Rattus norvegicus: one gene and its partners. The protein of the gene in region 2 binds, or shares a complex with, the protein of the main gene of each other region. Links are inferred from orthologs where the notes say so. Each region holds a gene or a part of one and is shown on either strand. Other genes may lie near its edges. The genes, in order: Osgep, Tprkb and Gon7.

Region 1 (7,884 bases), on a different chromosome or scaffold from region 2:
CATAAAGTGGACCCTGAAAGTCTATCCCCTGATGTGCACATACACAACGGCATGTGTGTACCCACATACCCACATCTCACATGCACAAAATAAACCCAGATATGATCAAGATATCACATACATGTATGACTTGCCAAACAATTAAAAAAAAATTCTTCCAAGAACCAACAGACCAGTGCTTGCTTTGCAGCACACACACTAAAACTGTAATGATGCAGAGGACGAGCACGGCCCCTGGGCAAGGACTGCACTCAAATTCCTGAAGCGTCCCGCAGTACATACAGCCTAAGAAACAGAACGCACGCAGGCACGCACACAGACATTCCGTAAGAAGTAGAAAAAGGTGAGCCAGGCACGGTGGTACAGGTCTGTAATCCCAGCACTTGGGAGGAGTTTGGAAGATCAAAACAGTACAGGGAAAGCTGTCTAGTGCACTGAGACCCTACCCTACTGAGTCACATCACACAGCAGGCTCTCGATCCCAGCTGCTTAGGCTGAGGAAGGAGAATCACAAATTTGGGACTGGGTTATCTGGAGACCCTGCCTTTTAGAAAAGGAGAGCGGGATGGATAAACGAAGGGAAAAATATATTTATAAGGCTAGAGAGAGGGCCCAGTAATTAAATGCACTGGCTACTCTTCCAAGGGACCTGAGTTCGATTCCCTGCACCCACACGGTGGCTCACAACTGTCTACAACTCCAGTTCCCAGGGATCTCATTCCCTCTTCTGTCGTCCTGGTGCTCCTACATACATCCAGGCAAAACACCCACACAAGTAAAACAAAGTTTGTTTTTTTTTTAAATTAAAAAAAGAGAGGCATATTATCTTGAAGGGTTAAATTCACATTCTTTTTAAATGAAAGATTCTAGGTGTATGTATAAAGTTCTAACATTCTAATTCTTCTCCAAAACTTGCAACTTCATACCTATTATTGTATTGTCTACAGTGTCTTAGGTCCGAACGTGCCTGGAATGTCCTTGCAGCTCCTGTGACTCAGGTAGACTACCTTAGAACTAAGAGGGAGTATGAAGAGTCCTCTTAAGTACCTGAGTATTTCCTCCGCTGACATACAAGACAGTTGGGTTGACGGCTCCAGTGATGAGGCGGCCCATTTCAATGTGGCCTATGCAGTGGTTCACGCCTAGCAAAGGCTTATTCCACAACTGGGCCACAGTGCGGGCAACAACAGCTACGGAAGCCAGTGGGGCTCCCATGCCAGGACCTAACAGGGTACACACGTGGTTAGAATCCTAGAAATTAGGAAAGACGTGTAGAGTAGATTTGAGAATGTGTAACAGGGGTGGTGGTAGCTCCACCCACATTCGCCCTTGCTGACCACTCCCCCAGCCTTACCTTTGGTGTAAGCAATGCAATCGATGTCCTTGGGGGTTAACCCTGCCTCTGTTAGCGCCTCCTGCAGTAGGTCTAGGATGACAGCTCGGTGGTGCCTGGCCGTGTCACCTGGAAGGAAACCTACGGAACCATAAGGCAGGTATTAGGTTGGTGCAAAGGGAAGTGTGATATGGGGCTGTGAACTTTAAATCACTGTAACTAGGTTCCAACACATTTTTATTAATCAAAACACAAACCATTTTTATTAACACATCTTGCAACAAACCAGTCAGCTAGGCGGTGGTGGTGCAAACCTTTAATCCCAGCAAGGCAGAGGCAGGTGGATCTCTATGAGTCTAAGGCCAGGCTGGTCTACAGAGTTCTAGGACAGCCAGGGATTTGTACAAAGACCCTGTCTCAAACAAAAAAAATTTATTTATTCCTGCAGCAAACCCATGTTTCAACAAACTCTTGGAAAGCACTCTCTGCATACTGCAAGTTGTGGAAACGTTTTCCCCAAGAAAAGTTGTCAGGGTAGTGACAAAGCGGTGGTCAGTTGATGAGAGGTCGGGTAAATGTGGTGGATTTAGCAAAGCTTCACTTTGGTCATTCGGTTTTGAAGCATGGGTTGTGCCACAGGCAGTCAGGCATTGCTCTGAATCAGGCTCTTCCTGCTAAACAATGCTGACTGCTGGAGCTATAGTTTGGTGCATCTCAATGATCTGCTGAGTGCCCTTCTCAGAAGCAATGGTTTCCCTGGGCACCCTTCTCAGAAGCAATGGTTTCCCTGGGCACCCTTCTCAGAAGCAATGGTTTCCCTGGGCACCCTTCTCAAATTCAATGGTTTCCCTGGGCACCCTTCTCAGATGCAATGGTTTCCCTGGGTACCCTTCTCAGATGCAATGGTTTCCCTGGGCACCCTTCTCAGAAGCAATGGTTTCCCTGGGCACCCTTCTCAGAAGCAATGGTTTCCCTGGGCACCCTTCTCAGATGCAATGGTTTCCCTGGGCACCCTTCTCAGATGCAATGGTTTCCCTGGGCACCCTTCTCAGATGCAATGGTTTCCCTGGGCACCCTTCTCAGATGCAATGGTTTCCCTGGGATTCAGAAAGCTGTAGTGGATCAGACCAGCAGCAGACCACCAGTGACCCGGACCATTTTTGGTGAAAATTTGGCTTTGGGGCTTCTCAGTTCAACTACTAAGCTGGCTATGACTAGTTTTCCCCTACAATCCACTTTTTGTCATCACAACCCAAGAAATGGTTCATACATGAGAGCCGAAAACAACGGCTGTTGGATTTTCAGTCTGTTTATGAGGTATCAACCTACTAAGGTTTTGTTTTGTGTTGTTTTAACTTTTCAAATATTCAAATGATCACTGATTGGTCCACGTTGAGCGCTTTGGTATATATTTCTTTAGCTGTAAGATCAGCTTCCACAGCTGTTCTCAGTAAACAGGTCAAAGCCAACTTCTGATAGCCAACCATTTCAGTGCTCTTGTTAGTCTCCTTGCAAGGTCCTAAACCACCAAGGCACTGTTAGTAAGCAGTTCCAGGGACCGAATGTTAGGATTGCTAGGATTCCAAGTCATCTCCACTGCTTTACCTCCCATTCTAAACTCAGTCGTTCCTTGATTCCATTTTTGTTATTTATTTTGAGACAGGGTCTTACGGTGTACCCATGGCTGGCTTGGAATTTGCTAGACCAGGCTGGCCCCAAACTCAAGAGATTTGCCAGCCTCTGCCTCCTGGAGTACTCGAATTACAGGTTTAAGCTCCCACACCTGGCTTTAGTTTTATTTCTGTCTAACATAATTTCCATAGTATAAGATAGATAGACATAAACAGCAAGAAGTGTCATAGACCAAAAATAAATAAAAATAAAGCTCATCCAAACCCCAATGTGATATGTGCACATTAAGACACGCCTGTAGCCCCAGCATTTGGGAGGCAAAGGCAGGTAGGCAGGTAGGCCGGCAGGCAGGCAGGCAGGCAGGCAGGCAGGGAGGGAGGGCGAGGCAGAAAATGAACGATTATAAATGCATTCTAGTATCAAACTATGAATTTTGACAATGCAAAACCTGCAATTATTTTTGCACTGCCCAATTAGAAGTAAAAACCAACACGGACATGTTTTAACGATGTAGGGAAAAAAAATCCTTTTCTCGCCTACGTCTTAAGATACCCTCTTTTCAAGCCTCTACTTTTAAGACAAGGTTACACATAACCCCGGACCGCCTTAAAACACAGACCCTGTCACAGCCTCCCAAGCGCTAGGATGACAGACGTCACCACACACTCAGCTAGCTTTCCAACTTCTACACAGGCTACTGGGGTTTCAGAGACGCTGCGGACATCCACACACAACACTCAGGAGCAATCCAAGTTATCCAGACCTCCCACTCTTTGGTCACTTCCCCTGTACAGAGAGCCCTAGGAAAAGTGACTGTTGGACTTAACATAATGACAGCACTACAACTGTCAGTAGCTTCCCTTTCACCTCAAGTATCTCAGCCTCTGTGCCTAAGAGCCTAGAAGAGTGAGTCCTGAACACACATACATTTCTACTACATAACCTGAAACATCTCACTTGCTTAGGGAGTCTTCAGATATAAATGCAGCTTGTATGTATGTGTGCAAGCTTTGGGAGAGGGTAGGCAACATGTAACTTGTAAATATGTTAACTGGGAGTTGTGCAGTACCTGGTGCATTCACATAGTTGTCCAAACCCACGGATATTCATTTCCATTCTAAAAGGACTGAAAGACAGACACCTAAAACAGATCGAAAATACAGTAACTCCTGATATCTGTCCGGCTCTCCCCTTTCCTCATTGTAGACTACTTTTATATTTATCTCGCTCTAGTGTAAAACAGTCTCTATGTGCATGTACAGTGTACAGCCTCGGTACACTTATTTTTAAAAGCTCAGCTCATAAAAGGTGCTCAATAAAACGAATGCAATAGGGAGGAGTGGCTCACGTCTTTAATTCCAGCACTCAAGAGCTATAGTCTTTACAAAGCAAGTTCCAGGTCAGTGAGACCGTCTCAAATTATGTATTTTAAAAAACAAAACAAAACAAAACAAAATAAAAAAACAACAAAAAATCCTTGACAAACACACGTGTCCTAAGCCCACGTGTCTGACTGTTCTAGTCAAAAAGTTACCAACCAAACGCGAAATCAGGGTCTTTTTTCTTTCCTTTTTTTTTTAAGGGAGTCTGGAGTAGGGTCACAAGGCAGTAATACCAACAGGAACGCTGACGAAGCAACAGTATGGGAAATCAGCAAAGAACCCTTGACAGAAATAAATGCGACAAGGAGTCTGCAAGCGCGGCAGCAGCCACTCACCGGTGCCCGGGGCCGTGACGTATGTGCGCCGCGGGTTCGCCAGCACCGTGCCGTCGCGGACCACGCCCACGCCAATCTTGTTGGCGCTGCCTTCGAACCCCAGCACCGCGGGCATGATACCCCGTGATTCGGGATCGTGGAACTGAAGGACTAGCTGTAACCGGCACCGCGATGAACGACCCAGAACCAAGCGAAGGGACCTTCAGGCGCCAGAAGTTATGTCACGAGTGGCAGGCGAACCAATCACCGCGCTCTAGAACCACGTGGGGGCGGAGCCCTCGAATCACGTGACAACACCAATCGCCCACGTGGGAACAGACAGACTCCATTCTTTGTGCAGTGAGGGGCTCCCTGCCTCGTTGGGAGGTCAGGTACCAGGCTTACCCCGTTTCGCGACCTTGTTTGCCGAAGGGCCTAACTCGGGCGAGGGGCTGCGAGGCTCAAGGCGGGGAAGACTGGGAGAACCGCGGTCCCGGTGTGCAAACGCCTGCGGGAGGCGGCTCGCTTCCTCTCCTTGTATTTTGATTTCACCGTTTCTTATCTGCAGGCAGCGTAGTAAACACTGCTTCGGTGCTCCAGACGCCTAAGGGCTTTCGTTACAGCGATGCCGAAGCGGGGGAAGAGAGCGGCAGCGGAAGACGGGGAAGAACCCAAGTCCGGTAAGGTGGTGAAATGAACCGGATCGCTCCCCTCCCCCCAGGCAAGTTTGGGGCTTTACTAGACCGCCATTAACTACTTGCTTAATATGGACCAAGTTACGTTGCAGGATTCCGAGATGTTTGGGTAACTAGAGCGCCTAACGAGATCATAGTTAACTCTGAGGTTGGAAACTGCCAGCTCTTACTACTTGACTTATTTTATAGAGCCAGAGACCAAGAAGAGTAAGGGGGCAGCAAAGAAAACTGAGAAGGAGGCCGCAGGAGAGGGCCCTGTCCTGTATGAGGACCCTCCAGATCAGAAAACGTCAGCCAGTGGCAAATCTGCCACACTCAAGATATGCTCCTGGAATGTGGATGGGCTTCGAGCCTGGATTAAAAAGAAAGGCTTGGATGTGAGTACAATTGAGGGACGTAAACTTTACTTGATAGACTCTTAAGGATCAGTCATCTTGTAGGCTTTTTTTCCTGGAGATTGGTTCCAAAAAGTCTGTTCTTTAAACCCCAACCCCCTCATTTCTTTCTTTTTTAAACTAGTCTATAATGTCGGGGGGGGGGGATATGCCCTTGTGTTTCTACCATATCCTCAATCCCAGTCATTTAAGATCCAAGTGGGCTGAGGGCTGGAGTTGCTCAGCAGTTAACAGACATTGCTGAGCTTGCAGAGGCTCCAATTAGGTTTCCCGCACTCCACTCAGGTGACTAATGGGCATTCACTCCCACACACAGTTTGTTTATATATCCTGCTGCTTGGATTCCTTCGGCATATTGTATGTAGCAATTTTTAATTTTCCACATTGTCATTCAGTGGGTAAAGGAAGAAGCACCAGACATCTTGTGCCTCCAAGAGACCAAATGCTCAGAGAACAAACTCCCGGCTGAACTGCAAGAGCTGCCTGGACTCACCCATCAGTACTGGTCAGCTCCATCAGACAAAGAAGGATATAGTGGTGTGGGCCTACTTTCCCGCCAATGCCCGCTCAAAGTCTCTTATGGCATTGGTGAGACCTCAATGGCATTCATGTCTGAATGTTCTTCATTTTACTGTACTATTTCTTTAACATTTTGTGCTGCTTTTCATTTTTATATAGGTGAGGAAGAACATGATCAAGAAGGCCGGGTGATTGTGGCTGAATTTGAGTCCTTTATCTTGGTAACAGCCTATGTTCCGAACGCAGGAAGGGGTCTGGTAAGACTGGAGTACCGACAGCGATGGGATGAAGCCTTCAGAAAGTTTCTAAAGGACTTGGCTTCCCGGAAACCTCTTGTGCTGTGTGGGGATCTCAATGTGGCTCATGAAGAAATAGACCTTCGTAACCCCAAAGGAAACAAAAAGAATGCTGGTTTTACTCCCCAGGAGCGCCAAGGCTTTGGGGAAATGCTACAGGCTGTACCACTGGCTGACAGCTTCCGGCATCTCTACCCCAACACTGCCTACGCTTATACTTTCTGGACTTACATGATGAATGCCCGCTCTAAGAATGTTGGTTGGCGCCTTGATTACTTTTTGCTGTCTCACTCTCTTTTACCTGCTTTGTGCGACAGCAAGATCCGGTCCAAGGCTCTTGGCAGTGACCACTGTCCCATCACCCTTTACCTAGCACTGTGACACTCCCCTCAAGTAGCTTCATGCTGGGAAATAGCCTCCTCTCCTCCAGGAGACCAGTGCGTTATCTCTTCTTCAGGTGTTTACTCCCCTCTAAACCAAACTTCTGGTTTCCTTTAAACAATCCAAGTGAAATAAAAGTCCTACTTTTCAACTTCATGGTCTCTGTCCCTTTTTGAGTCTAAATATTCCCCCTTTCAAACACAAAACTTGTTAAATGGGAAAGGTTACAGTCATGACATTATTTATTTACAAGCACAGATGAATCCCTGACCTCTCCCAAGACAGTGACCCTACCTCAGCCCAGTTCAATACTTCAACTGGAAGTAAAGCCGGAAGGAGGAATTCAGGGATGCACAGGGTTAGGGGAACATATCCCATATTAAATAGTTATATATATACACAACAGTTCCTGTAGTTCTGTACAGAGCAGTGGCTGACCCCACCCCACGGGACCCGAAATGTGGGGAGAAGAGACTGAGGGTGTTGAGGCCGGAGCCAGCCCCTGGTGAAGTGCAATAGCAGCAGCAAGGTCCTAACGGTACACAAGAGGGAGGGGAACACCCCCTCCCACTTTCCACCCCCACCCTGCCCTGGAATGTACTGAGGGACAGGAATGGTTCTCAAAGAGCACATACAGGAAGGACATGGCTAGAACCATCTTTAGGATCCAGGCTTAGGGGCAATGTTGTCTATTTACCCTAAACAGCAGTCCTTGGAAGAAAGCAGCCAGTCAGCAATGGTCTTCCCTACCCCTCCAAACCTAAGTCAGGGGCTGGTTCCTTCCTACCTCTCCCCAGGGAAAAGGGAGCCAGCTGTTTGGCTTCCTTTAGAAGTCCAGAGAGCCTTTTGTAGTGTTACTGTGGTACCAGGCAGCCGCCAGGCACACACTGCATCAAGGGGCTCAGGAGAAGTTCTGGACAGGATGGCTGACCTTCAT
Region 2 (7,740 bases):
GACTGAAGGACTCACAGACATACCTGGCACTGTGGTTAAAATTACATTCACACCTACTTTTATCTTTGTGCAAATTAGTAAGTTTTACAAAGACCTACTTCTACGGCTCAGATGCCACAAACGTGTATACACAGGAGACTCCTCTAGAACCAGGGGACGTAGCTGAAGGAAGGTCTTTTCATCTTCCACTGTGGCTGGAATCTTGTCATGGTGGGACTGGCTATCTTCTTCAGACTCCAAGAGATAGCCTGTTCCTGGTTTTACAGATGTAAAACTACCAAAAGATTTACTGACTTTTCTAGAATAGTGTCTCTCCTGGAAACCTGATGCTTTTGTAAGATCCTGATTAGGATGACTGACAGGCTATTTTTACTCCAAGTGAACTATAGTGCTCTCTGTAATACTTTGGCATCCATATTTAAATATTTAATAGTAGACATTACCATAGTCTACTCAGGGGAGACTGCCTTTGATAGTTGTTTTAAGTTTTCTTGGTCGGTGTGTGTAAAATGCCAATTAATCAATACTGGTTCATTCTGTGTAAGCATTATCTCAAGAATTACCATGATTATCATTAAAATTCAACTCTCTTCACTTAATGTGTGTCATCTGTTGTTTTAACTATGGTGAACATCAGCTGGGCATAGTGGCACACGCCTTTAATTCCAGCACTCAGAAGGGAGAAGCAGGTGGATCTCTGTGGGTTTGAGGCTAGCCTGGTCTACATAGTTAGTTTCAAAATAGCCAGAGCTACACAGTGAGAACCTGTCTCAAAAATAAACAAAAACAAAAAGGTTATAGTGAGCATATACAATAAAAACCAAAATATAATAACTGCTGACATTTATAAACCCAAAATGTTGGCTGCAGAGATGGCTTACAACACAACCAACAGGACCTAAAACACTGACTCAGTGTTACACTTGCCTGAATCAGCATAGGTGTTATTTGTACTTGAGATTTTCTGGTACTTGCATAACTGAAACCCCGTGTAAAGGTTGACCTGAAACCACATCTAAAGGGTGACCTATCACTTTCTGAGAAACAAACTGTTGTATACTTAATGAAAAACTTCTTATTCCAAACGGAATTTTGGACTCTTTATTACACGTGTACATTAAGCGGCAAGGATTAACTTTGGCACCTGAATCCTAACTTTATGTTCCGTAACTCCTTTGGAGGCAAGTCTTGGAATGTTTTCCTCAAAACCCTAGTTTGTTCCAGTTTCTTACGCCTTCCTCCCTGCAAGCAAAATGGCACTGACTCTTTGAGCTTCTTCTTTGTCTATGCCTATTCTAATATATCCTATTACATGTGTATAAAGTTACATTTTCATCTGAAAAGAGGTCAAAGTCACCCTCAACTACACAACTCCGGTCCCAGGCTAGCCTGGGTTATATGAGATCCTGCCTCAGAAAACAGAACATAAACCACGACTGGAGAGTTGGCTCAGCCATTAAGAACATTTGCTGCTGTATATGGAATGGATCCCCAGGTGGGGTAGTCTCTGCTTTACTCTTTGTCCCGTTATTTCCCCCTGTGAGTATTTTGTTCCCCCTTCTCAGAAGGACTGATGCATCTACATTTTGGTCTTCCTTTTTCTTGAGCTTCCTGTGCTCTGTGGATTGTATCTTGGATATTCGAGCTTTTATGCTAATATCCACTTATCAGTGAGTGCACACCATGTGTGTTCTTTTGTGACTGGGTTACGTCACTCAGGATGGTATTTTCTAGTTCCAACCATTTGCCTAAGAATTTCATAAAGTCATTGTTTTTGATAGCTGAGTAGTACTCCATTGTGTAGATGTATCACATTTTCTGTATCCATTACTCTGTTGAAGGGCATCTGGATTCTTTCCAGCTTCTGGCTATTACAAATAAGGCTGCTATGAACATAGTGGAGCATGTGTCTTTGTTATATGATGAGGCATCTTTTGGGTATATGCCCAAGAGAGGTATAGCTGGATCCTCAGGTAGCACTATGTCCAATTTTCTGAGGAACCTCCAGATTGATTCCCAGAGCAGTTGTACCAGTCTACAATCCCACCAACAATGAAGGAGTGTTCCTTTTTCTCCACATCCTTACCAGCATCACCTGTCACCTGAGTTTTTAATCTTAGCCATTTTGACTGGTGTGAGGTGGAATCTCAGGGTTGTTTTGATTTGTATTTCCCTGATGACTAAGGATGTTGAGCATTTCTTTAGGTGCTTCTTGGCTATTCGATAATCCTCAGGTGAGTATTCTCTGTTTAGCTCAGTACCCTATTTTTTTAATAGGATTATTTGATTCTCTGGAGTCTAACTTCTTGAGTTCTTTGTATATATTAGATATTAGCCCTCTATCAGATGTAGGATTGGTAAAGACCTTTACCCAATCTGTTGGTTGCCATTTTGTCCTATTGACAGTGTCCTTTGCATCGCTATTGCTGATGCCAAGAAGTGCTTGCTGACAGGAGCCTGATATGAATGTCTCCTGAAAGGCTCTGCCAGAGCCTTACTGATACAGATTAAGATGCTTACAGCTAATCATCAGACTGAGCACAGGGACCCCTATGGAGGAATTAGAGAAAGAACTGAAGGAGTTGAAAGAGTTTGCAACCCCACAGGAAGAACAACATCAACCAACTAGACCTCCCAGAGCTCCCAGGGACTAAACCACTAACCAAAGAGTATACATGGGGGTGGGGGGGACGGACTCATGCCTCCAGCCACATATGTAGTAGAGGATGGCATTGTCTGGCATCAATAGGAGAAGCCCTTGGTCCTGTGAAGTCTCATTTCCCCAATATAGAGGAATGCCAGGGTGTTGAGGGGGAGTGGATGGGTGGGAGAGGGAGCATCCTCATAGAAGCAGGGGGACAGGGGATGAGAGGGGGAACATTTGAAATGTAAATACATAAACTATCCAATTAAAAAGAAAAAAGGGGGCTGGAGAGATGGCTCCGTGGATAAGAGCACTGACTGTTATTCCAGAGGTCCTGAGTTCAAATCCCAGCAACCACATGGTGGCTCATAACCATCTGTAATGAGATCTGATCCCCTCTTCCTGTATGTCTGAAGACAGCTACAATGTACTTATATAACAAGTAAATAAATCTTTAAGGAAAAAAAAGAAAAAAGGAACATTTGCTGCTTTTGCAGATGACCAAGACCCAGCATTCAGGTGGCTCACAACCATCTGTAACTCCAGTCCCAGCAGATCCAATGCCCTCTTCTAGCCTCCATTGGTACCAGGCACCCAAGTGGCACACACACATATATACAGGCAAAACATACTTACACATAAAATATTTAAAAAAAATTTAAAAAGCACAAAACTTAAACGTAACAGAAAGTTACCTCTGATTTTCTAGAATTATGTGTGAAGGTTTCTGTTATAGAAAAAGTTTTATAATGTCCTGACACAGCCTTTCTCATGTTAGCATCGAACTGATAAAGAATATGGTAGGTGTGATCCGTATGCTCTGTCATGTAAAAACATCAAAATAATGGCTAACATCTCCAGAGCAAGTCTGTGGTGAAAGCAAGTTTGCCTAGCCTCCTAACCTGTTCCCTGGCTTGAGGCAGAGGCAGGCAGATCTCTGAGTTTGAGGCTACCCTGGTCTACAGAGTGAGTTCAGGACAGCCAGAGATACACACAGAAAGCCTCTTCTAGGAAAACACAATAAAATACCTCACTCTCCCGATGAAGTATTGTGGTATTAGCAACAGGAGGTGGTCTAAGGCAACGCCCATGTTCTGACTCTTCTACATCCACTTCTAACTCTGACTCATCCTTGTCACAGACACTACCATCACCCCTTATCATTAACATCCTAACAACGTCCTCATACGGGCCCTGGCCACCAGTAATGCAATTCTAACCTATCCTTATGGTCACCGGGTCCTTCAGGAGGAAGTCAGAGCTGAAGCTAAAGCCCTAACTTCCCTGCCTGACTTCTCCGGCCTGCATGGCATGGCCTGCCCTCACTTAGGTTGGTCAGGCTTTCCAACAAGACGTCCCTGTACTCCCGGGCTTCCTGCCTGGATCCCTCCCGCCCCCTGGGAGCCCGCTGGCCCCCTAAAGCCGGGCGTGGGGGGCCACTCTCGGAAGCAACTCCCTCCCAGCACTGGGCCTGGCTGTAGCTGAGCGGTCCGCACGCGGCTCCTCCAGCCTCAGCCTCCGGCATCGCCTGCAGGGGGCGCCCCGGCGCGCGCGCAGCCGAGTGGCCTTCCGGCCGGAGCCGCACTCCTGAGACTATGTCGCTCTCCACCCGCGGCTTGGGAGGGCTCGCGACAAACACTGGCGAAGACATGCACACTTAGCCCACAAAATTGTCCGCATGGAAAGAGCTACAGGGCGGAACTCACCCTCAGTCTCCTGTCCGTCTCAGAAGATCGTCCCCTTGGAAACGAAGCTCTCTACTTCCGGAAGAGCTTAATGTTTGATCAGGTGGACGGACTCCAAGGCAGCCTGTTTCCGGTGGGCGGACTCCTGGCTATGTTTATATGAACTTCAGCAAACTACTATTAATGCTAGGCGCTTGTGGCGGAGGCTGAGGATAGCTACTTCTGCTTTGTCCCGGCTTCGGAAGCAGAAAGCACCCTACAGGTTGGGCCTAGTAGTTGAGGTATGGTATTGAGTGTCAGCTTTGTTCTTAGCCTGTGTTGAATGCCCTTTTCCTGTGAAAAGAAAAATATTCACCAGGACGTGAGTTACAATTCATCAGCTTTTGAGACTCTGTTTACCCGAGTATGCTCTCAGGTAAAAACGGGGATGTGGCGTGCTTGGGTCCTACTTTGAAGGAGCTCTTTCGGTGCTTGGAGATCTAGAGACAAGTGGACTCTCACAGCTGTGACAGAGGAAAAAGGCAAATTTCTTGAGCAGACAGAAGGACGTGATACTGGGATCAAGTCCCCAAAATCCATCAGCCTCAGGAAATTGTGCAAGACCAGGGTACTGCTCGTGGAAAGGATGGCCACCTAGATAGTAAAATCAGATTTTGATTCTTGCTACCTGTCAGCGAACCCAATGAATAAAGGGCTTGAATCATAATATTACAGTTTATCCAGAGAGAGCCAACAGTCTTAAGAATGTAGATTAATTACCCTAAAGACATGTATTTTATACCATCTCCACCCAGCAGATTATATAAAGGAGGAGATTGGGCCATAGGCAAAGACAGCCAATAATCCTGGAGCTCCATTTTGCCTCGCTGGGCAGATGATATTTGCTTTGTTAGCTTTCTGCACTCTTTCTCATCTGCAGATGTTTGGATCTAGGCACGTTGAAACTCAGAGTCTAATTAGTTTCTACTGAGATCAACCTTATACTCCTCCAGAGGTACCTGGGAGGTTAACTCAAAACAAATAAGAGGGTGTCAGCACTAGGTTCCTTTCCTCAGTGTGGAGTATGGGTGTCTTCATAATACAGAATATGAAAGTGTCCCTATCTGTCCCCAATCATTCTCCGCTGTCAGTAGCAACTCTGAGATCTGTGTCATATTAAAAAATGAGATCCTGACACCGTGTACCTGGTTGATTGTCAGAATGACTTCTTACTTGTAAGAAAATTCTCTGGCACAAAAAGATGTGTGTCAGAACACAGCATATGTGTAACAGAAGCAGCTGTGACTTGGAGTGAGAATTTCTGAAATATGCCTTGTTCTGAAGCAAATATAAACAATAAAAGTATGAACCAAGGTTGGAAAATGTGTCAGGTATAAAATGTATAAAAACCATTTCTCTTTAACTTCTCTGCTTTACTTTTGGCCCTTACTCATGAGGGCCAGGCTGTCCTGCAGTTGTCAGCCTTTCTGTTTCAGCTTCCCAAGTACTGGAATTGCAGACAAGCAACATCATGCCACTGTGACTTGGTTCTGGTACTGACAAATCTTTCCACATCTCTGAAGAATGTTCTCTGAAGATACTATTGCTTGGCTATGGTGGTTTGATCTTGTCTCTCATCCTTGGGATGAGATCTGTCCCAACAGATCTGATTCAGTGTTGAAGGTGTGAATGAGTGACAGATGTCAAGGAATTAATGCCAATAAACCCTAGAATCCTACCTTGTCAATTTTTTTACATTTTGTTTATCCAGTTGGTACTATCTTAGCATCTCCAAAAACACTAATGGGGATGTCCATTAGAGGCTGTATTTTTGCAAAAATGTCTGTAGACGGTAGCCATATTAATTCTTAAAGAACACCACACAGAACTAATGAGCAAACATTTAAGGAAAGCTAGTGTTAAAATTCAGTATGTAATCCATTAAGATAGCCCAGCAAGCTTGAGACCTGAATAAAATCCCCTGAGCCCACCTAAGGAGGAAGGAGAGAACCAACTCCACAAGCTTGCCTTCTAACCTCCACTCACAATTTTGAAGCAAAATTTGGGTTCTTTGGCTGGGTAGGGTAAAAGGTCTACAGCATTAACTATTTAAAAATAAACTTTAGACCCATAATGGGGAACAGTGTCAATGATTATACACAGATGTAATAAATGAATTATGAATACAGCAATTAGGTATGTCTTCTGTCAAGGTGAAGACATATACACCAGGATTTTAGATAACAGTATTAATTGTGATTTGGTTTTGTTTTTAATTCTGAATGATACTGGTTAAAAATAGTACAACACTCACAGCTTCACGCGTGCGTGCGTGCACGCGCGCTTGCACGCACACACACACACATCAGTTTGCGTCACCACATGGAAGAATTACACAGAACTAAAGATCCTCCCCCCATTATTTATTAATCTGCCTAGTTTTGGTTTTGAAGCAAAATTTTGGTTCTTTGGCCAGGTAAGGTAAAAGGTCTACAGCATTAACTATTTAAAAATAAACTTTAGACCCATAATGGGGAACAGTGTCAATGATTATACACAGATGCAATAAATAAATTATGAATATAGCAATAAAGTATGTCTTCTGTCAAGGTGAAGACATATACACCAGGATTTTAGATAACAGTACTAATTGTGATTGGTTTTGTTTTTAATTCTGAATGATACTGGTTAAAAATAGTACAAATAGCAAAAGAATTATATGGTCATAAGTATACATTACAACTTCTGTATAAAATGTGTTGTGTCAATCATTCTACATGAATTAAATGTCTGTAACTACAAACAAGGTCAGACGTAGATTGCTACACAGATGCATAGGGTGTTAAATTTACTGGGAAAATTACTTATAAAAGTGGTTATTTAGAGAGGTTAACAAAAACAAATTAGACCTAATGAGCATCAGCTTAAGATGGGTTCTCTACCTAGTTAAATTTTTGACAAAGATAACAAAAAGCAGAAGTAGTTAATTAAAATGTTTGCATTTTTAAGTACTTTTTACAAATGCTGAGAGGAGATTAATATCTTACAGTCTAACAAGAACCCACTGTTTTAAACTGTGGGCCGTTGGGTCGTGTAGATGAGCTTAATTTTGACTTAAGGAACCCCAGTAGCAGCACAGGACTGCACCATCGTAGGTTGTCCCTGAAGACTTTGTGCCCTTCATTTGCCGCTCACTGCCTGGCTTTACCCTCATTTTTGTTGTTGTTGTTGTTTTGTTTTGTTTTCATTTGGGGAAAAAAAATCTAGTCATTATTATCCAAGGCAAAACCCTATTTTACCACACTAAATTCCTTCAATTTCTGAAATATTCCCTTTCACTGGGCATGGTGGCATTCCCCTTTTGTCCTTACAAAAATATTCTCATATTTTCTTTAAATAAAATTTCTCATGTTTACGTGGAAAAGAGAGTCA
Region 3 (7,904 bases), on a different chromosome or scaffold from region 2:
GTGACTTGTGCCTATCAGACAAGCATTCTACCACTGAGATACATATCCACAGCCTCAAAACACACTCTCTCTCTCTCTCTCTCTCTCTCTCTCTCTCTCTCTCTCTCTCAGCCAGTGGTTGGCTTTGTAACCTGAGGCAAGTAACTATTCCAAGATTGAGCGACTACTCTGAATTAAGTCATTATAGTTTGTGGTATTGATGAGTCTATGAGGTTCAGAATATATCTGTAATCCCAGCACCCAAGAAGTGACAAGCAGAAAAATGAGTCTGAGGACAGGCTGGGCTACAACTAGGGAGTCCAGATCAACTTCAGCACACAGTAAAGCCATGTCTCTAAGTAACAAAAAGCCAGGCATGGTTGTGTACACCTGTGATCCCTAATACTCAGAAGTAAGACATTAAACGGTCAAAGCCAGGTAGGCTATGCAGTGAATTCCAGGCCAGTCTAGGCTACATACATAGCAAGAACCAGCCTCAAAACAAAATATGTAATTAAAAGAATTATTCTAATTTCACTAGGTATATTTTGCATTTCAAGTGTCAAAATCAGATAAGATGCACTATAAATAAAAAAAAAAACTACTCTATCTAGTTCCACTGATAAACAGCAGAAAAGAACACATACAATATATTTTAGGAATTTATATTTTTTAAACTATTCAACAGTTCCCTTTTGACTAAAATTAAAAAAAAATGGCTACAGGAAATAGGTAAGTTACAACCAATGTATTTTATTGACTTGGGCTTTACATCTATACTTGTACAGATGTATATATATACACACAAGTCATATTTCTTATCAATTCTTTCAAATATTAATTGCCTATGAACTACAACAAGCAGCTTTTATAAACACTGAAAGATGTAGACATACACCACTTGATTCAATGAGCATTTTAAGAGAGAAAAACAAACATAAAAATTCATTTGCCAATTTAGAGTTCATTCACTGTGAGCGGTTTCATTTTATTTTAGGATGAGACAACAGGAGTTCACTCCCAAACACTTGTACTTTGTTAGGAACAAGAAAGTTTGCTCTGTGATGTTCCAGTGAAAGAAAATGAATTTCCCAGCTAGAGCACAGGTCTTCTGTAATTCCAGTGATGAGGATAGCATTGCCCTGCTGTCTTGGGCCTTTTTTTTTTTTTTTTTTGAGGCATGGTCTTGGCATGTAGCACACAAGTTGGCCTCCAAACTTTGATTATACTGCCTCAGCCTTTGAACGAACTGGGATTACAAGTACACATCATCTCACTCAGCCTGGTAGCAGTCTGAATGTCTTAAGAGCTGTGTTAAGAAGTTGGTTTAGGTCGTTTTGCAGATGGTCCATCTGAGTTAGTTCTACCAGAGTTATTTTCATCTTCTGCATCATCTTCATCACCTTTTAAAATAAATGTCTGTTGTATGATATGTTTAGTGGATAAAAGAAATACAAATAGGTAAAGAGACTGATACGAGACGTCCCTTTGGGGACTAAACAACCACACATATCTTACACTTTATAAGTGCTAGGAGCCAGTGGGATTGCTCAGTGGGTCAAAGTAAATGCAGTACAGGTAAATATGGTGACCTGAGTTCAATCCCTTGAGCCCAATAAAAAGGAGACCCCACTCTACATATGCATCATGCTAAAATGAATTTTTAAAAACTTCAGGAATTAGTTGAATGTGACAGCCTTTAATCTTAGTGCCTAGGAGACAGAAACATGCAGATCTCTCTAAGTTCAAAGCCAGCCTGATCTACATAGTAAATTCCAGGGGAGCCAGGGCCACACAGTAAGGCCACATCTCAAAAACAACGTAACTGTACACCTTTCATTACAGCACTCGGAAGGAAGCAGCAGGCAAATCTCTTGAGTTTGAGGCCAGCCTGTCTATAATGTACTGCTTTATTATTGCCCCAGGGACAAGAGAATCCTCACATACATCAAATAATGAATGATATGTGACCCTGGCTCCTTAATTTAAAACTACTGGTTGAATAAAGATGCCTACTGCCTATAGCTGGGTAGAGGAGAGGTAGGTACAGTTTCGGTTCTCTTGGTTTGAGGAGAACCACAAGAAAAAAGAAGATGGAGAGAAGACACCACGGGGGTAGGTGAGTCATGAAAACATGGCCAGGCTACGAGGGTAGGCCAGCTGGAGTTAAGAGCTGCCCAGATGGAACACAGCAAGTTGTAACTCAGGATTATTGATGGGGAAGTGGATCAGAATAGCTTATAAGGGAGGTATCTGCCCAGCTCTAGTGCATTAACAGCATATTATAAATATAAAGTTGTATGTCTTTTAATCTGAGAACTAAATGATCTAAGGTGGGATAAGAAACTTCTAATATAACATATTGGCACCCAATATGGGGTACCATTTTGTACAAGTCTGATTTCAGTTCTTCCTCCTAGACCAATGTTCCCAGAAATAAGACTCAGACTCAAAGTATATGTACAAATACTTTGGCCATATAGGCTCTTCTCTGATTAGATCATAGGATAACCCATTTATATTAACCTACATTCTGCCACATGTACGGTTACCTGTGTTCAGGTACACGCATCCTTCTCTTACAACTACTAATTTACTTTCAGCTGCTATAGATTGCCTAGTTTGGACATCTCAGACAAATGAAGAGTGTAGAGCCATTTGTGCCTGACTGTTGTCTTAGGATTCGTTACCATTGTACTGTGAATCCACGTATCATTCCTTTGTGTATATGTGTATGTATGATGTGTATATACATGCTATAGTACACACAGAGGTCACCATTTCAGTATAGGTCTTTACCTTCCACTTTAAGAAAGGGTCTCTACATACATGAAGTTTCCTGGCTCCATCTTCCAACTCACTGCAAGGGCACAAGAATTACAGGCACATGGTCTTACATGGGTTCTGGGGAGTCAACCTCAAGCCCTCATGTCTATGCAGCTGGCTTTACTTTAATTGTTAGACATTATCCAACAATTTTCACATGACTATTATTCAAAAATTAAAAGAATGGGCATTTGTATTATTTTCACTTTTCAGCTACCAATGAACAGTGCTGCTACCGTCAGGTATTGAATCTTGGTATAAACATATTTCCAGTTAACTTGGAAAACTAGTGGTTTAATTATGGGGTGGTATGGTTAAGTTTTTAGAAATTCTAAAGTGGACAAACCATTTTACACTTCCACCAACGAGGGCCTATCATATCCTAGTATGATAGCTAATCTTGGTTGTCAACCTGCCCAGCCCATGAGAAAAGATATGGAAGGAAGCTTTTGCTTTTTTTGCCTGCTTGCCCTCACTCTGACTAGCAAGTTCCTCTACTCTGTTACCGAGATGCCCACGATGCTCCTTTGTTGGTGTTAGAACCTACTTCTTTAGGACTGGAACAAAGACTGAAAACTGGAGTCCTCTTAAGAAAGTCTTAAGTCCCTGACTGGGACTGTTGAGACATCCAGTCTCATGGACAAACAACTACCAGATTCTTGGCTTTTCTGTCAGGGCTTTTTTTTGGTTCTTTTTTTCGGAGCTGGGGACCGAACCCAGGGCCATGCGCTTCCTAGGTAAGCGCTCTACCACTGAGCTAAATCCCCAGCCCCTCTGTCAGGGCTTTTTTTGGACTACTCAGACCACAGGCCATAAGTCACTCTTACTCAGTTCTGCTCCTTTGAAGAAACCTAATACATCTAGATAATACCTTTTAATGACAGCCAACGCCCATATTATAAAGAATTAGGAAGTACAGTTTAACCTCCTCCTTAGTTCCTTGATTCCTTAGTTCAGGACGATATCTATCTTGGGATTCAATTCAAGATAAGAAAAATAAATGTAGCCAAGCTTGAGTGTGGGCACATTTCTTTATTCCCGACTGCTGAGGCAGAGTCAGGCGGCTCTCTGCAACTCAAAGCTAGTCTGGTTTAACAGTTACATGGTGACAATGTCTACAAAATAATTTTATTCCTAGTAACAGGGTTGGGGCTGGAGAGATGGCTCAGCGGTTAAGAGCACTGCCAACTTTATCCCTGCATGCACAAGGCACTCTCAACTGTCTGTACCTCTGCTTCAGGGGATTTGATGCCCTCTTCTGGCCTCCAAAGGCACTGCACATAAGTGGTGTACAGACACGCATGCAGGTAAAACATCCATCTTTAAAAACAAACTCCAAACCTAACAGTTAAGTTTCTAGAACAGTAGAGGGGGTGAGAGAAAGCAAGAGCCAGAGGAAAGGAAAGTGTACGGCAGCGGTGATAACCAGTAAAAGTTGGCAACCTAAACGTTCGATCATGGAAGAGGGAGGGGCTCATGAGGCGCCTCTCCTCCCGGAGGAGCGTTTGGCAGTTGATGGGGGGCGCGGAGTCATTGTTTTCTTCAGTGGTTTAGTCACTGCTGAGTTGCCCTAGTTCCTGTAAACAACCCACCCAAGCTCACACAAATATCCTTAAATAAACTCAGTGAGTGACAACAAAAGAAAGGGCAGGAGCCCTGTTGGGAAGGGGTTCAGCGGGGGATAGAGAGAGACCAGAATGCACTACATACATGAATGAAACTATCAATTAATTTAAAAACTAAAAAACCCTTTTACTTTCAAAACAATACCTATAAAACTGAGAGGGTTAAGATTCCCTAAAACAAAGTGGGTCTCGATCATCTGAAGCTCTTATTCTGTCAAATGTTTTTCTAATTTCTAACTTCACTCCTTTTCTTCTTTCAACAATCAGCTCCAAAGTCCCGCCCTTTCGGTCTTCCTGCCAGTTAGCAATGGTTACAGACCACCACACTTTCTCGAGCAGATCTGCCTATCTCGATCCTTTGCAAGGGAGTCGAGCTGACTTCGTTCGTTGTCCAGTCCCTAATCCAACACTCGCCGCGGTGGGAGATCAGACAAAGAGGGCAGAGAGGACTAACGATTTTTAGAAGCGATTCCTCCTCCCCCAGTCTCGCCTTCTCTAGGCTGCCCTTCACACTGCCTGCCCCCGCCAGAGTCCCCCGGCGCCCCGCCCCCGCGCTCACCATCCAAAGCGTCCTCCGGATCTTCCGCCACGCCCTGTGCGTCCTGCTCCACTAGGGTCCCGAAGAACTCCGCTACCAACTCCTTCATGCGGACCACGCCCGCCGACAGGCTCTGGAGAGGGTCCGCGTCGCTCGACGCTTCACAGGACACTTGTAGCCGCTGCGGCTCCCCGTCACCACCGACATACTCGCCAGAAAGCTCCATGGCGACCGCTCAGCTTCAACAGCGCGCCACAGAGAATCGTCACCCGGAAGCGGAAGCCAGCCCGCAGCCAGGGCGGGCGGGAGAGGAGAGTAGGAGGGATGACTTCCGTTTTCCCGGAATTGCCCCGCCTATTTTCTTCCTTCTCCTTCCTTGGGATTGGTTGGCTGGTGCTCGGGCCCCTCCTTCTCGCGACGCCCCTGGCGGCCACTTTTCCCGCCGCCTCCAGGGCCACGCAGCGGAGCCCGGTGACAGTTGAGGATGGCCGGAGCCGAGAGTCCCACCGGGTGCCAGGCGGAGCTGGAGCCCGTGGTGTCGCTGGTGGACGTGCTCGAGGAAGACGAGGAGCTGGAGAATGAGGCGTGCGCCGTCTTGGGCGGCAGCGACTCCGAGAAGTGCTCCTACTCGCAGGTGCGCGTGGCCCGGCTGCTCCCGCCGACCTGCCTGTTTCCCGCTGGCCGCAGCCCGGCCGGCTCCGGGGCGGCCCTTTACTTTGTGCTTCCACAGCCGGGGCCCAGCTGCCCTTTGATCCTCAGCTTGTCACCACCAGGGCTGTCCTTCTGTCCTGCTGGCCATACACTGTAGGCTTCGGTCCTGGAGCAGCAGCTCTGTCCTCCAGTTGTCGCCTCTTGGTGGCCTGCTTTCCACGAGATTATTCTTGTGACCTCTTAAATCCAGATATTCTTCGCCCCACTTCTACCCCTAAAGAATGTTAATTAAGGGACTAGATGGGGAAACGTAAAGAAAAATTGGGCCGAATTCGAAAGTCTTCCGGTGAGGGTGGGCTTCTGGACACTACTGTAGTCTAGTTTAACTGCTAGCTGCGCCTCCCCCCCCTTCCGGTTAAATGAAGTTCCGTGTATAAGTGCTGTATGACACCCCCTCTCCCTCGGGAGTAGATCGAAGCCAGAACATCAGGTGGCCCTGGAAAACCAAGAGAGGAGAAAAGGATCTTCTTGGGGTTTCTGAACAAGAGTTTGAGGGGCTGGGATGTAGCGTTTACTGACGCTTACTATACATTTAAGTACTAAAGTGGAAAAGGGTGTGTAGGAAGGAAACTTAACAAGGATGAGAATTGGTGGAAGGAAACAGGCTAACTATGCCCATGGTTGGAGAGGAAGACTGGGGAAGGAGTGAAGGGGCTTGGAGTTAATTGTGTGGTGTGGACCGAAGTCATAATACTATTTTTCTTTGTTGACCAAGTTGGGTTTGCACTGCAAAATTGTTGGATTGTTGAATAAGTCTTGTATCCCAGAAACGGTCGCACAGTAGTCGCTGGCATTTAAATCGAAGGATCGCTGTTAGGTTTCAAACTTTGGACAAAGGGGCTGCTGTGCCTATTTAACATATCAAAGAGGATGGTGGCCTCCAGGTTCTCCCTGTCCTTCTGTCCCTTCCGGAGCCCTCCTGACTGGGGCTGGGCTACCCTTCCCTCCTCTTCCCTTCCCTAAATAATCCAACCGTTTTGTTTATCCAGCTCTCTTGGGTCTCTGGACTGTAGCACCTGGCTCCATATCCTTTCTCCCAGTCCTCTCTCTCTCCTTTCACAGGGCCCAGCTCAGGGTTGTTTAGACTCTGGACTCTCAGGTGTCCTAGCCCCGATGCTCTTCCTTTAATAATAAACTTTTTCTCTCCCACCACACCGAGGAACAGATATGTCCTTTCCTTCCTTTTTTATTTTTATTTTTTTCATTCAATGACCACTAAACCACATACACCACCCCTTCCTTGGAAGGAAAGAAAGGTCCTAAGGCTGTATGTGAGCTGTTTATTAATATACTTAGCTTTATAAAATATTCACTACAGTTGTTGGAGATAGGATCTTATATAGCCCAAATCTGCCTTGCATTCATTATTCTCTTCACCTCCCAAAGTATTACAAGTGTACACCACCATGCTTGGCTTAAAGTCTTGTTCTTTTGTGGATTTTGCTGTGTTTTTTGAGACAGAGTCACATTGTGTGGTTCAAACTAGAATGAAACTCACTATGTAGCCCAGGCTGGCCTCACAAAGATCCATCTCCCTCCCAAGTGCTAGGATTAAAGGTCTGGTCATAAGTTTCTGTATATCCTATAAGTATAGATATTAATAGTGATAATAATTATTTTCTTTTAGGTTTTTGAGACAGGGTTTCTCTGTGTAGCACTGGCTGTCCTGGAATTCACTCTGTAGCCTAGGATGGCCTTGAACTCTGAGGCCTTGCCTCTGCCTCTTGAATCCTGGCATTAAAATTGTGTGCCACCACTACCGCCCGACGGTACTTTTTTTGTTTTTAAGACTTATTTTTTAAGTATTTGTGTGGATATGTGCATGTGAGTGCAGGTACCCTTGAAAGTAGAGGAATCTGATCCCTCTGGAGCTGGAGTTACAGGGTTGTGAGCTGCCCAGTGTATGTACTGGGAACCCAGTGCTAGTTCTCTGAGAGAGCTGTATGTGCTTTTAACCTCTGGGCCATCGCTCTAACTTCAAGTGGATTTTTTTTTTTTTAAAGATTTATTTATTTATTATATATAAGTACACTGTAGCTGTCTTCAGATACACCAGAAGAGGGCATCGGATCTCTTTACAGATGGTTGTGAGCCACCATGTGGTTGCTGGGAATTGAACTCATGACCTCTGAAAGAGCAGTCGGGTGCTCTTAACCGCTGAGCCATCTCTCCAGCCCTCAAGTGGATTTTAAAAAGCGTATTTACTGCTGTGTGTGGGCATGTGT

What was found.
Region 1: Tprkb (region 2) and Osgep share a complex: the UniProt entries of both Homo sapiens proteins name them as parts of the EKC/KEOPS complex. The link is inferred for Rattus norvegicus from reciprocal best matches to the Homo sapiens genes TPRKB and OSGEP.
Region 3: Tprkb (region 2) and Gon7 share a complex: the UniProt entries of both Homo sapiens proteins name them as parts of the EKC/KEOPS complex. The link is inferred for Rattus norvegicus from reciprocal best matches to the Homo sapiens genes TPRKB and GON7.

The regions. Positions count from the first base shown.
Region 1 is NC_086033.1:26,613,228-26,621,111, forward strand, and holds the start of Osgep (tRNA N6-adenosine threonylcarbamoyltransferase), read right to left. Parts: upstream 4,887-7,884; 5' UTR 4,798-4,886; coding exon 4,683-4,797; intron 4,107-4,682; exon of another isoform or gene 4,035-4,106; intron 1,475-4,034; coding exon 1,355-1,474; intron 1,252-1,354; exon of another isoform or gene 1,224-1,251; coding exon 1,048-1,223; intron 280-1,047; exon of another isoform or gene 176-279; intron 1-175. Other genes in the region: Apex1 (DNA-(apurinic or apyrimidinic site) endonuclease), read left to right, coding at 5,287-5,341, 5,546-5,733, 6,147-6,947; Pip4p1 (type 1 phosphatidylinositol 4,5-bisphosphate 4-phosphatase), read right to left, coding at 7,849-7,884. UniProt on the Homo sapiens protein: Component of the EKC/KEOPS complex that is required for the formation of a threonylcarbamoyl group on adenosine at position 37 (t(6)A37) in tRNAs that read codons beginning with adenine.
Region 2 is NC_086022.1:119,897,119-119,904,858, reverse strand, and holds the start of Tprkb (EKC/KEOPS complex subunit Tprkb), read right to left. Parts: upstream 4,361-7,740; 5' UTR 4,351-4,360; intron 1,604-4,350; exon of another isoform or gene 99-1,603; intron 88-98; exon of another isoform or gene 1-87. UniProt on the Homo sapiens protein: Component of the EKC/KEOPS complex that is required for the formation of a threonylcarbamoyl group on adenosine at position 37 (t(6)A37) in tRNAs that read codons beginning with adenine.
Region 3 is NC_086024.1:127,658,029-127,665,932, forward strand, and holds Gon7 (EKC/KEOPS complex subunit GON7), read right to left. Parts: upstream 5,249-7,904; 5' UTR 5,195-5,248; coding exon 4,990-5,194; intron 1,383-4,989; coding exon 1,294-1,382; 3' UTR 713-1,293; downstream 1-712. Other genes in the region: putative E3 ubiquitin-protein ligase UBR7, read left to right, coding at 5,453-5,602. UniProt on the Homo sapiens protein: Component of the EKC/KEOPS complex that is required for the formation of a threonylcarbamoyl group on adenosine at position 37 (t(6)A37) in tRNAs that read codons beginning with adenine.